3 linked regions of the Danio rerio genome follow. The protein of the gene in region 3 interacts with the protein of the main gene of each other region in a pairwise test. Links are inferred from orthologs where the notes say so. Each region holds a gene or a part of one and is shown on either strand. Other genes may lie near its edges. The genes, in order: eaf1, eaf2 and psme3.

Region 1 (3,653 bases), on a different chromosome or scaffold from region 3:
CTAAAACCTTAATATATGAAATAAAAAGTAATACATTACTGAATAAAAACTGAATGAATTCAGATTTACACATTTACTCAAGTGAATAAACTGAATTAATGATGGGCTAAAAATCTGCAGAAATCTGCGGAATTCTGCGCGTGCAGATTCCGTGTGGGCCTAGCAATAGGGTATATGCTGAAGCGTGCCAATAGGACTTTTAATTTGCCAGTAACCTGGGTTAACCGCTTCCGGTGAACTGTATGCCAAAGCAAAATCAAATGCGTTTATGGTCTGTTTTCTTTAAAAATCAGCGATCTCCATTGGTTGAGTGATATCCAATATAAAGTGTGTCTGAGATTGTACAAGAAGCACTGCATTAAATTACATTTTCACCGCCATGTCTTTATAAAAAGAGCATTCACTTTACTCCAGTATATTCAATGGAGCTTCTGCATTATCCTGCCGATTCTGTTGGTCACGTGCGAGTAAACAGGTTTTTGTCTCATTTTACGCTTGAGTAACTAAGTGAATACCAAAGTCTGTTTAACTGAATGTATTGAATTACATTACAACATTGATGCTGTAAAAGGAACCATATATAAAGCAGGGCTGAGCCTGGTTAGTACCTGGATGGGAGACCACTAGGGAACACTAGATTGCTGTTGGAAGTGGTGTTAGTGAGGCCAGCAGGGGGCGCTCAACCTGTGGTCTGTGTCCTGAGTCCTAACGCCCCAGTAAAAGTGAAGGGGACACTACACTGTCAGTGGGCGCCGTCTTTCGGATGAGACGTTAAACCGAGGTCCTGACTCTCTGTGGTCATTAAAAATCCCATGGCACTTCTCGTGAAAGAGCAGGGGTGTAACCCCGGTGTCCTGGCCAAAGTCCCTCTATCGGCCCTTACGATCATGGCCTCCCGATCATCCCCTTCCACCGAATTGGCTCTATCACTGTCTCTCCACTCCACCAATAGCTGGTGTGTGGTGAGCGCACTGGCGCCGTTGTCCTGTGGCTGCCGTCGCATCATCCAAGTGGATGCTGCACACCGGTGGTGGTGTGGAGACACCCCTCATGATTGTGAAGCGCTTTGGGTGTACGGACATACACATTAAGATGCGCTATATAAAAATACTCATTACATTACATTACATATAAAATGGAAAAAAAACTCACAATAACAGGTCACCAGACGTTTATCATTATGGGAGCAACACCAGCTCGGCATATACCCTGTATAAGACAGTTTTTTTTGGTCCAGGGTCATATATTGTGCGTCTGCAGTGTTGATGTAGCTTTTTCTCTGACTCTGCTGAATTGAACCAGTGTTTTTGATCTGTGTGTGTCAGAGCTGCGGGCCGAGGTGGACATGATCGAGCAGATGAGCAGCAGTGGCAGCAGCAGCTCTTCAGAATCTGCCAGTTGTTCAGGCAGCGGGAATGACGACAGTTCCTGCAGCGATGGAGAACAGGAAACACATCTCTCGCCCAGCAGGAACAACATGGCCAACGGAATGAACAAATCACAAGGCAACAACCAGCTGATGAACACACTCCGTAAGAAAACATATATATTACCCACACGAGACAAGCATACAGTGTAATATAACTATGAATGTTGTGCAAATAGGATATAACAATAATTAATAGGTTTTGATCCCAACTGTGCCACTTTGGTGACTGTCGCTTTAAATTCAAATGAGATTGTGCTCTTTTTACAAGAGGGCAGAGCTACAAATTAGGGATGTGTAATATGGCAAACCTTAGAAACACGATTTTCTAGAACAATATTAAGATTTTGATTTTAATAACAATTTTGACACACACAGATGTTTTACACCAGGGGTCACCAATCCAGTTCCTGGAGGGCCGGTGCCCTGCAGGGTTTAGCTCCAACTTCACCTCAACACACCTGCCTGGGTGTTTCAAGTATACCTACTAAGACCTTGGCTGTTTCTCAATCGGTTCTTCAGCGGCCTTGCAACCTCGTGTTCTTGTGTAACGTCATTATCAGCTGCCAAAGTTCAGTTCCAATACTCAAGACCGCAAGTACGGAGGACGCGTGAAACTTCCTGGATGTGATCTTGATATCGAGGACGCACTGATACAGACTTGAGCACCGAACTCGCTCTGGAAGTCCCAGAAGTCATTGCGACTGGAGGTGGGAAGCGCAGCATTTTATTTAGATTTATTATTAATGTTCAGAGATATCACTTATTTACCGCAGGAGTTTCCCTAAATGAAATGGTGAAAGTAAACATCACCATGAACATCTTAATAAAGGAATAAACACATTAAGGGTGTTTGTTTGCTGAAATTCGTATTAAAATCTGTTTTATTTATATTGTGCAGAGTATATTTATAATGTTTTTATGCAAAATATATATTTTGAAGAGGGGGAAAACAATAAATCGTTATATGAATGTTGTAATGTTTAAATAATTTCCATTTAAAACGCGTGAAGGTCATGTGACCATCAGGAAGAACGCAGCATCCCATTTCTTAAAGGACGCGTTCTCTGCCCTCGCGGTCTCCTGAGTTCGTTCTTCCGAAGACACCTGGCAAGACCGCTCTCCACAAGAACGCAAGTCCATTCTCTGCGTTCTTGGAATTGAGAAACAGCCCTTGATTAACTTTTAAATATTGGACCAAACTTTGTGATCTCATAACTTTGCGCCAGACTGTCTTACAGACTTAAGGTTGTGCTCATTTAACTCACTAGCAATCTGCCAATCACTTATGACCTTTCAACTTACTAGCCACACCCTAGCAACTGTCCCATAGTTTTGTGTTTGATTAGAGTTGGAGCTAAAATCTGCAGAACACCAGCCCTCCAGGAATAAGTTTGGTGATCCCTGTTTTACAGTATGAATCTAAAACATATTTTCAAAGGAAAACAATTACATCTATATCAAAGACCTGTAACATGTCTCTAAAACAGACACACACAAAAAATCTCGTAGTAAATGTGTAACAAATTGTCTCCAAAAATTGCGTGTGCGTGCATGTCGTCAGACTCAAGTAAGGATCCAATGTTCTGCTTGAGCACATATCAGAAGTAGTCACGTGTACTTTTCTATGTGTCTACAGATTTTTTTTCTATGTGTCTACAGATTTTTTTGTCATGCATAGATCATAGACCTCTTTGTGATGCTGCCATGAAACATGCTGTTCACATATCTATACTTTTGCGCTCATAAGTTTGTTATTTCCAATGGAATATTGGGAGTGTAGGGATAGTTTAACCCAAAGAATGACCAGTCTGGTAGATGAAGAAGAGCCGGAGTCAGATATTTAAATAAATAAATCAAGTTTACTGAAGATAGTTTGCAGTTTCATTCGCAGAAGCCAGCATCAACACTCGCAATAAGTTCCTAGGCCGCTCTGCTTACAATCACCAATCAATAACAATTATACTCTCCCATAACGTCATTAACTGCGGCATACATATAGGTGTTCTAACCTGATTGGTTAAAACACAGACTAGAAAAATTTCCACGTGGGGTTCGTGCGTACAATTCTGAACATTATCTAAACATAAACGTCAGACATACCTTAGACTGATTAGAGCTGACTCCAGACCTGTGAAATGGATCAACAATCAAATAAAACACACACTTAAAGTATAATCTGTTTCTTATCCAAGGCTGAGTGTACTGTCAGCCGTCTTTATCAAAA
Region 2 (4,289 bases), on a different chromosome or scaffold from region 3:
CCATCCATCCATCCATCCATTCATCTATCTACATCCATTCATCATCTATCTATTCAACCATCCATCCATCCATCCATTCATCATCTATCTATTCATCCATCCATCAAACTTTTTTTTTTTTTTTTTTTTTTTTTTTTAGAGAAAATGAGTATAAAAAATGCACTTTTATGATTTATTAATTTTTTTTTTTTATGGTTGTCTCCTTCAATATTTCAAGACCAGGAAAAAATATAAAGTTGTGTTATAACCTTGTAATACCTCTACAGCAACATTAAGAACTGTACTTACTAGGTTCAGATGGTTTTGAGGGACAAAATTGAAAAAGATTTAATAATCCAGGACTATTACACTAAATCGATCACAACCATCATAATTATTGTTAAATGAGGAAACACTTTAACTGTCATTTCATTGTATTATGTTTATATCTCCACAATTTGCATTAGATTTCTTTTAGAATAACTAAATCACAGTCATTTGAGACCACAGGCTTGCAGTATAATCAGGGTTTCTTCCAATCATTCCATATCCGTTTCCAAAAAAAAAAAAAAAAAAAAACGGAAAACGGATGTTTTTTGGTTTTTCTTTTGCTCACAAAAACCTACATTTTGGCTGGATTTTCATTTTTTATTTTAGGGGAGGAAAACGGATCAATGACTTTAAAATTCATTAAACACATGTAAGCAGTGCTGAAAGCCCTTTTTCCTCTGATTGGCTAACCAAGTCTAAGCTCATGACGTCGCCCTCAAAATAATAGTCCTCTGAGGATCTGCACCCAGGCTTTTTATCATTATTATTTATTTTATATATAAACTAAGTTTAAATATCCTAGTATTTAATCAGTTAGCAGGCTTACATTCATTGCGTATGCATAAGTTAAATAAAAACATAAATTAGCAGTATAGTTACACATGTCATTAAAAGAAGGCAATAGTTCGTAGCAAAACGTCTTGCTGCTGTGCGCCTGATGCCGAGTAAAGATAGCCTTTTCTGAGCATAACCTAGTTTGCATTATTGTTTCAGAGCTACTGTAGGCCTAAATAATAATAATAATAATAATAATAATAATAATAGTAGTAGGCTTATAATAAATATTATTGTTTACTTTGTGTTTTTTTATTGTCTAGTTTTTTAAATAATTGTTAGCAGGACCAGAACAAGAACACATTGGGCCCTAGGGCTATAACAAAAGATACCATTAGTTTTTTTTACATTTTTATTTCCTCTTATTTTAAATATATATATATATATATATATATATATATATATATATATATATAGGACTATTGTTTTGAAGACAACGTGATGAGCTCAGATTTCATTCGTCAGATGAAAAAGGGCGTTTCAACATCGCCTACATGTGTATAATGAATTTAAAAGTAGTATCCATTTTCCTACAATAAACCCCAAAAAAAAAAAAAAAAAAAAAAAAGAGCCAAAAGTTTTCCCTTTTTTTCAAACGGTTTAAAAACAGATATGGAATGGACGGAAGATACCATGAATCAATATAATATGTGGATCAGTTATGGATGTGAAACTGATGATTTGTTGCAGGAATCTTTTTTTTTTTTTTTTAATTTGGACCAGACATGTTACCTCGCTCAATATCATCCATAGGAGATGATGGAGACATCTTTTCTTTGGGAGGAGAGCTCTTGGTGCTGGATGGAGCCTTGCTTCCGCTACCCGTCTTCATCTGCTGGCTGAGTCTGCTGGTTTGTTGCTCCAGCCGTGACTGAATCTTACTGCTTCCCTCAGCCCTGGACAGAAAAGAGAATTTGACAATTTATTTACTTCACATACAATTCAAAGGATTAGAAGGAAGCATCATATTTATATGACTTGAAACTCAAAAGTGTTTTTACCTGGTCTTCTTGACCGCAATGTTGTTGCTGAGTTTCTCCAGACGATACTCTCCTGTGTCATGGTTAACAATCAGAATACACTCCTTCATATAAGGCCTTTTAGAGCCTTTAAATACAGTAACTGGTGCTGTGGATCCCTGAAAGGGTTGATTGGAGAGAAAAAGACTCAAGAATCATTCATTTTACGTACACTTCAGAATGTAAGGTTATGAAACCTACTTCCAAGTTCGGTAATGTGATTGTAACTTGCTCTCCTTTTCCCACTTCCAGCTCCCCCTCACATGTAGTGTCTATGGAGGCTGGTTTGAAATCATCTGTGTCCAGGAAGAACATATTTCTTGATATTCAGGTGTGCTATTATTACTGACACGTACAGTACACAGTAAAACAAACATCGTAGTATCATTGCAGAACCTACAGAGGGCGCGTGTTTCCCATGAAAGATCATTATTCTTCATGAATTAAATGGCTCTCAAAATTTCATTAAAACGACAAGTTTTCGACTAACAAAAAAGGCTGTTTATTTATAATAGTTTTCGTTGTGAGCACAAAGACAGGATGCTTTTTTAAATGATCCCCAAACAACATACAAAGCCGAGTTTAAGCCAGCAAGGTGGAAAAGCACATAGCTGCCTCCTGATATGCCTGTGCGTTTTCTTTGAAAACAATATATGGTTTCGGTGTTAACTTAAAAAACACCTCGTTTTCTTTTTCAAAATATGACTCACATTATCGTGTTTATATGATCATTTTGAAATACCGCTAGCAATATAAAAGATGCAACTTACATCGTACCGTGTGGAATGCACTTTTAGGTTGTTTCTCAAAAGTTTCGCCTAGTTTGAGGACGTGTTCTTGACTGTCAAAGTTTGAATATGCTGTTCCATTCATTCTAATCCAAATTTTCAACCATATATTAGCGATTTTCAACTTTCTGCTTGGTTTGATACCATCTAAGGCAGAAATAGACGCCTCACTTCTGGACCCGTTGCTCACGCTTGCTACGTTGGGATTGGCTGTGTTACTGCACTTGGTCACGCCTCATTTCGTTCACTTCTTGTCTGTAATTGGTTTAGAAGACAATCAGTCGACGCTGACGTAACGTTTGACGGAAGTGCCCATCTTTTCCCTTACACGCGTTTACACGACTGCACTGGTGCCCTCTAGTGTTCCCTAAGAATGCTTATTTGTATTTGTGCAGTTAACGATGACAAGTAAAAAAGTCTTGTCAGTTAAGAAAAAATAAAAATGACATGTTGAAACGTAGTTTGGGTCTAAAATAAATATTTTAAGGTATGTTCCAAACGGGTAATTTCATTAGCACAGACAATAAAATCATAATTCCTCATAAAATATTAAATTATATTAATAGATTATATGCCTTGCTGTGTTGGAATCGTTTTCTCTTTTCCCCCAAATATGTTTTGTTTCTTTAATAAAATCGTGCAGTTTGTTTGCATTGACGCAGAGAGAGTAACGTTATATGGGGTCTTCTGCTATCTAGAGGTCGCCGATTCATTTACGAGCAGCGCGTGTGTGGAGGAGAGAGACCGTCGACATGTCAACTCTACTAAAACAAATATCTAATGTAAGTATGATCATACACTACACTGTCATTTCTCCTGTATCTTTATATTAATGAGTCGGTTGTAAAAGTGACACGTTCATTAACGAAGCGGAGGCTAAATAAATGAATTGTCCCGTTCACTTCATATTTTGAGCGAGGGTTAACCAGCTTTCTGTCAGCTTAAGTATTTGTTATTTTCAGTTTAATGTTCACGGAATACCGTATACTAGGTTATCTTCAGTGTCATTCATCTTAAACGTAAAACTATTTCCATGAAGTCCACTGTTTCTGAAAACCTCAATAGAGATGGAGATTGGTTCAGCGGGAGCATGTGATGTAGGGAATTAGCAGGTTGCTGGGTGACTGTCTGTAAAACAAAGAAAAACATCCTTTGAGATCTAATATGATGGGGTGAAAATGAAGTCTGACACTACTTGTCATTAGATTAGATTAGAGATTCTGTATTTTATGCTGATCTGATGCTGAGTTTTAGATTCCATCTGTAAATGCTTGTAGCTTTATATATAATTGCATTTGAAAAAAGTGTGTGACCATGAATCAAGTAATGATGTAGAATCAATGAAAACATTTCCATTTCTGCACAAATTATAGGTCACACATGACATTTATTATGATTTATTTTACAGCTCTTACATATTTATTTACCAGCTTCAGAAATCATAGATGTAGCCTTGTGAAATTCATAATTTGCAAAGAAAGGAAATGATTAGAAAGGTGTTCAGTAATTAGAAAAGAATTAAAAAATGTTTTTTATTAGACTTTTTGTTTTTACCAGTGGTCTTTTTTGTTTCTTCTGTAAGTGTATGTTTGCGGTGTCCCTGGGCTGGTGATACACA
Region 3 (4,200 bases):
GCTTTTCATCATTCCACCAGGCATGACAAAGACCTTGGTCCCGCCAACTACAACAGAGCATATACAGGAATCAGAGAGTGAAATCAGAGAGTGTTGCATTGGTTACTGCAATAAAGCAGCATGATATCAAATCTAGTATGATTTCATAAACTACACAGCATCCCGATATTCACAGAATTCAGGCAAACTTTAGCATAAAACCATACATTGTATAATCAAAAATTATAAAAAATGTAATACCTTGCAAAATAGCATTCAACACTTTGAGGGCCTTAAATTTCTCTACATTAATTGATCAACTTTTAATACTTTAAGACACACTGTACAAACAGGAACTTTAGTATAATGTAAAGAAGAGTGAGGGCTGGATCTGTCAGCACAGCAGAGCACATGGAAAAGAGAGGAAAAAAGACAAACGAAAAACAAACAAAACAACAAACAAACAAGATCTCCGTTTTTATTTTTTCCCCCAGTAAATTTCAACAGTATTTTGCAGAGTGTTTGGCCTGTCATGAATAAAACACAGTCATGATTATACAAATACAACTCTAAAACAGCCAGTAGGGGCAGCAAAAAGTTTAAATGAATTGAAACCTGTCTTTAGGAAGAGTAAAATGATTAATGCAAAATACATTCACCCAGGGCCAAAACACCAGTGTTGCACTGAGAATTGCTCATAAATATTTATTTATAGTTAATATAAATATTCTTTGCATAAATATAAAAAACAGAATGAAATATTTCCCAGTTTCAATATGAGCATTTAATAAAACAAGTATGTGTTATCATTGACAATCAACACTGCACACTTTCAAAACATATTTGTTTAACTTGGTAAACTAAAGACAATACCCACCTTTGTCGTCTCCTGCTCCATCTTCAAATTTCCTCTTTTTAGCATTTTGCTATTGAGAAAAATGTCAAGGTTATCTTTTTATCATATTCAGAGATTTTTGATCAACATCAATAGATGATATGACTGACTAATGAAGAAGACACTTGAAGAAAATGACTTTTACCCCCTCAATCCCATCGTGGATGTCTGTAAGCAGAATTGGGTCTGGCACTGTCAGATTGATCTCTGAATGAATTTCCTGCAGCTCCGTGATATTAATTGTGGGATCCTACAAGTGATCAAATGTATGAGTGTTTGTACAACAGGTAAAAGACTCAATGCATCATTTTGGGGTTTCAGCCCCTTTTAAAACAACATCTGGGTTTCACCAAGTAAAATTTAAGATTTTTTTAGACCATTACGAATTAAATTGCAAAATTTTACAAATGCTAAGGATTATTTTTAAATATCCCAGTTAGAAAAGATTTTCAGTTGCCCTATAACTTTTTTTGTAATGTAATACATTTAACAAAACAATTATAATATTAATAATTTAGTTTGATTTTTTTAAATAATTGTCAAATATATCCATTCACAAACTCTAAAGCCCTTACAAATATCAGAACAAAACATAGCTGTCAATTACTTCAGTCTACAAAAATAATAAAAAATATAAGACAGTCTCCTGTGTTAGACCATGGGCTGTATTAGCCACACCAACTTTTTGGGTTGGGTTTTCTCATTGAAAAACTTTTCCAAAGTAAAGTGAACTTCTAACAAAAAAACTGCAGAAACTTGTTTTAAGCATTATTATTTAAGTTTGATTTCTCAAAAGTCTGACTTTTCATTTCAAGATATGTAGCCGTTGAGATTTTTAAAGTTCTTCTTTAACATTTACAATGAAAAAAATAATTTTTCATAACAAGTCAATGTGATTTAATTGAAGGACGTTTAGATTTTTGTCCTGGACAACAAACTAAAAATCATTCAAATCATTGAAGTGCATGCAGCATTTAATCAAGACTTTGCAATTTTAAAACGTTCTGCTCCAATTTACGACTTTTTGCCTTCAATCTGAAGAGAGACAAAGCAAAACCCTGATCATAAACCACCATCAAACACTTACCTTCAAAAACTGGTCCAGTTCTAACAATTTCTTCGGGAAAAAGTTTGCAACCAAGTCTTCAGCCTATATGTCAACAATAAAACAATAAGTGTCAAATAGTCAAAGAAATGTCGGTATATAAATAATACATGTATAATTTATACATGTAATCTCCGTTAATTTACCTCTGATGTAATTCGTTCTCTAAAAGCATCAACCTGACAAGACAAAAACATTAATATGTAATTTTAGAAACACAACTAAGGCAATTCCCAATCTGAATTTTGCAGTCACTGCTTTTATTATTTTTAATAAAATCGCTTTAAGAAAACAAAACAGCTGGCGGCCTTTCTGTTTTAGGGCGCTGAATGTAGAACTGCACAATCCCGCTGGATTAATTTATTAGCCTCATGATCTTAACTGTAAACCTTTGACAAAATAAGTAGATATTAAAAATTACTTTTAGCTCGCTAATGGAAAAAAACGATGGCAAACTTCTCTCCAATTCTCCCGTAACGACATGCTGCTGTGCTAAAAACACGCTTCATCCGCACACCCGCTGTTAACAACGACTCCGCCGAACATGTGGGGGCTTCGGCTTCAGCTTGGTGATCTGATATATACAATCCGAACGTACTTAACGTTTAAATCAATATTTTATTTGAAAACTGTTTGATTTTACAAGCAAATCTGGATCTGAAAGTTAGCAGATGTGCTCACGAGGTGACTCACGGGCAAGCCGGCTAGCCGCAATGCTAACATTTACAAACAGTTTATTTGAGTGCGGCGTGTTTAAATAAAAGAAACGTTAAGACTTTTACCTTTGTTTTGATTTCATTGTCCACCTTCAGGAGCGAAGACATCGTATTAATTCAAGAAATGTGAAAATGAAGGGATTGTCCTAAAAGCATTAACTAACCGTGTGGCTTACTAACTGCTGTCAGCCACAAGGCACTTGCGCGCTTTTAGATGACGTAAAACACAGAGGCCATAGATGCGAATACATGATAGATGTGCAGAAAGAGTCTGGCATTCGTGACCAAATTCAGTCGAATTAATGCAACGACAACGCAGCTTATTCGTGTGCGGTTTGGCTGTATTCTAAATAGACACTGAAAAAAGTACTGGGTTATTTATTTGAACACATTGTTGGGTGAATTGTGCTGGATCAAAAGTATGGACTGTTTGATGTAGGCTACTATAAAACATTTGGGGTTTGCTGACCCAGTTTAAACTGGGCTTATTCGCTGATGAAAAGGTCAGGTCATTTTGATTTAGCTGGTTTATTAATTGCAAATTAGATAAAAAATTTATGGTTAATAGAATATATTAATGAACATGGGGGAAATAACAAACAAACAATAACAGAGATACTGTAATTTAAGTAATAATTATAACAATAATGAAAATAAATGACAAGAACAACATCAACAATCATCAATCAATAATCATAATAAACCATTATTTATTTATTTATTATTACCACTGTTGTTCTTGTAAGTAATAATAATAAAATAGAACATTAAGAATAATACTAGTAATAGAGTTTGACATTATGGCTACAAATTCTATTTCTCTCTTTAAAAGGTAAATCTGATCCCTGACGTGAATATCGCTTTTAACACGGTATCTATGTATTTTGATATATCTATGTTCTTGACGACTTGGAAAAGAGTGAAGCGCATGTCTGCGTCATATTTCTCGCTGTACATAAATTATTTGATGAAATCACAATATAAGTACCCACAAGAACAATTAAAAGCTTTCGCTTACCATTGAACAATTTTTATTTTGATATTTGATAAAAAGTATAAAAATATTTTGTTCGAACGTAAGCAAATCCGAGACACTTCCTGTGACGTACATTGGAGGCGTGTCTGAATCTAGCGATGTAAACAAGAACGCAAAAGACAAGTCTCACAGTGTTGACAGCACCACGGGCATTTAGAGCGTCGTATCCCCTCATCAAACGCTTCCGTTGACTCTGGCTCACAGACATGAACCTCCCCGTCACTGTCAAAGTGAACTTTAGGGGCAACGTGAAGAAATTTCCAGTCTTGGACACGAACAAAGCACAGTGGGAGACTGTGGAGGCCTGGGTAAGGAGTCATTAAGCCTTGCTGGGTGGCGTTTATGTGGGGACGTTTACATTTCTTGGTCCTACAAGGCCGTAGCTGAGGCCTACATAAACAAACCTTTAACCGGATGCTAAAAACGAATAACGTACAGGCAAATTCTTTAATCCTGTCATAGAAAATAT

The links.
Region 1: the proteins of psme3 (region 3) and eaf1 interact in binary tests that used the Homo sapiens proteins (3 or more experiments, as listed by UniProt). The two-hybrid records come from large-scale screens. The link is inferred for Danio rerio from reciprocal best matches to the Homo sapiens genes PSME3 and EAF1.
Region 2: the proteins of psme3 (region 3) and eaf2 interact in binary tests that used the Homo sapiens proteins (3 or more experiments, as listed by UniProt). The two-hybrid records come from large-scale screens. The link is inferred for Danio rerio from reciprocal best matches to the Homo sapiens genes PSME3 and EAF2.

The regions. Positions count from the first base shown.
Region 1 is NC_133191.1:7,236,214-7,239,866, forward strand, and holds part of eaf1 (ELL-associated factor 1), read left to right. Parts: exon of another isoform or gene 1-576; intron 577-1,128; exon of another isoform or gene 1,129-1,325; coding exon 1,326-1,532; intron 1,533-3,653. UniProt on the Homo sapiens protein: Acts as a transcriptional transactivator of ELL and ELL2 elongation activities.
Region 2 is NC_133184.1:24,619,618-24,623,906, reverse strand, and holds the start of eaf2 (ELL-associated factor 2), read right to left. Parts: upstream 2,862-4,289; 5' UTR 2,757-2,861; coding exon 2,654-2,756; intron 2,180-2,653; coding exon 2,085-2,179; intron 2,003-2,084; coding exon 1,866-2,002; intron 1,761-1,865; coding exon 1,597-1,760; intron 1-1,596. UniProt on the Homo sapiens protein: Acts as a transcriptional transactivator of TCEA1 elongation activity. Acts as a transcriptional transactivator of ELL and ELL2 elongation activities. Potent inducer of apoptosis in prostatic and non-prostatic cell lines.
Region 3 is NC_133187.1:29,024,095-29,028,294, forward strand, and holds the start of psme3 (proteasome activator complex subunit 3), read right to left. Parts: upstream 2,921-4,200; 5' UTR 2,804-2,920; coding exon 2,762-2,803; intron 2,159-2,761; coding exon 2,126-2,158; intron 2,025-2,125; coding exon 1,962-2,024; intron 1,125-1,961; coding exon 1,020-1,124; intron 906-1,019; coding exon 857-905; intron 48-856; coding exon 1-47. UniProt on the Homo sapiens protein: Subunit of the 11S REG-gamma (also called PA28-gamma) proteasome regulator, a doughnut-shaped homoheptamer which associates with the proteasome. 11S REG-gamma activates the trypsin-like catalytic subunit of the proteasome but inhibits the chymotrypsin-like and postglutamyl-preferring (PGPH) subunits.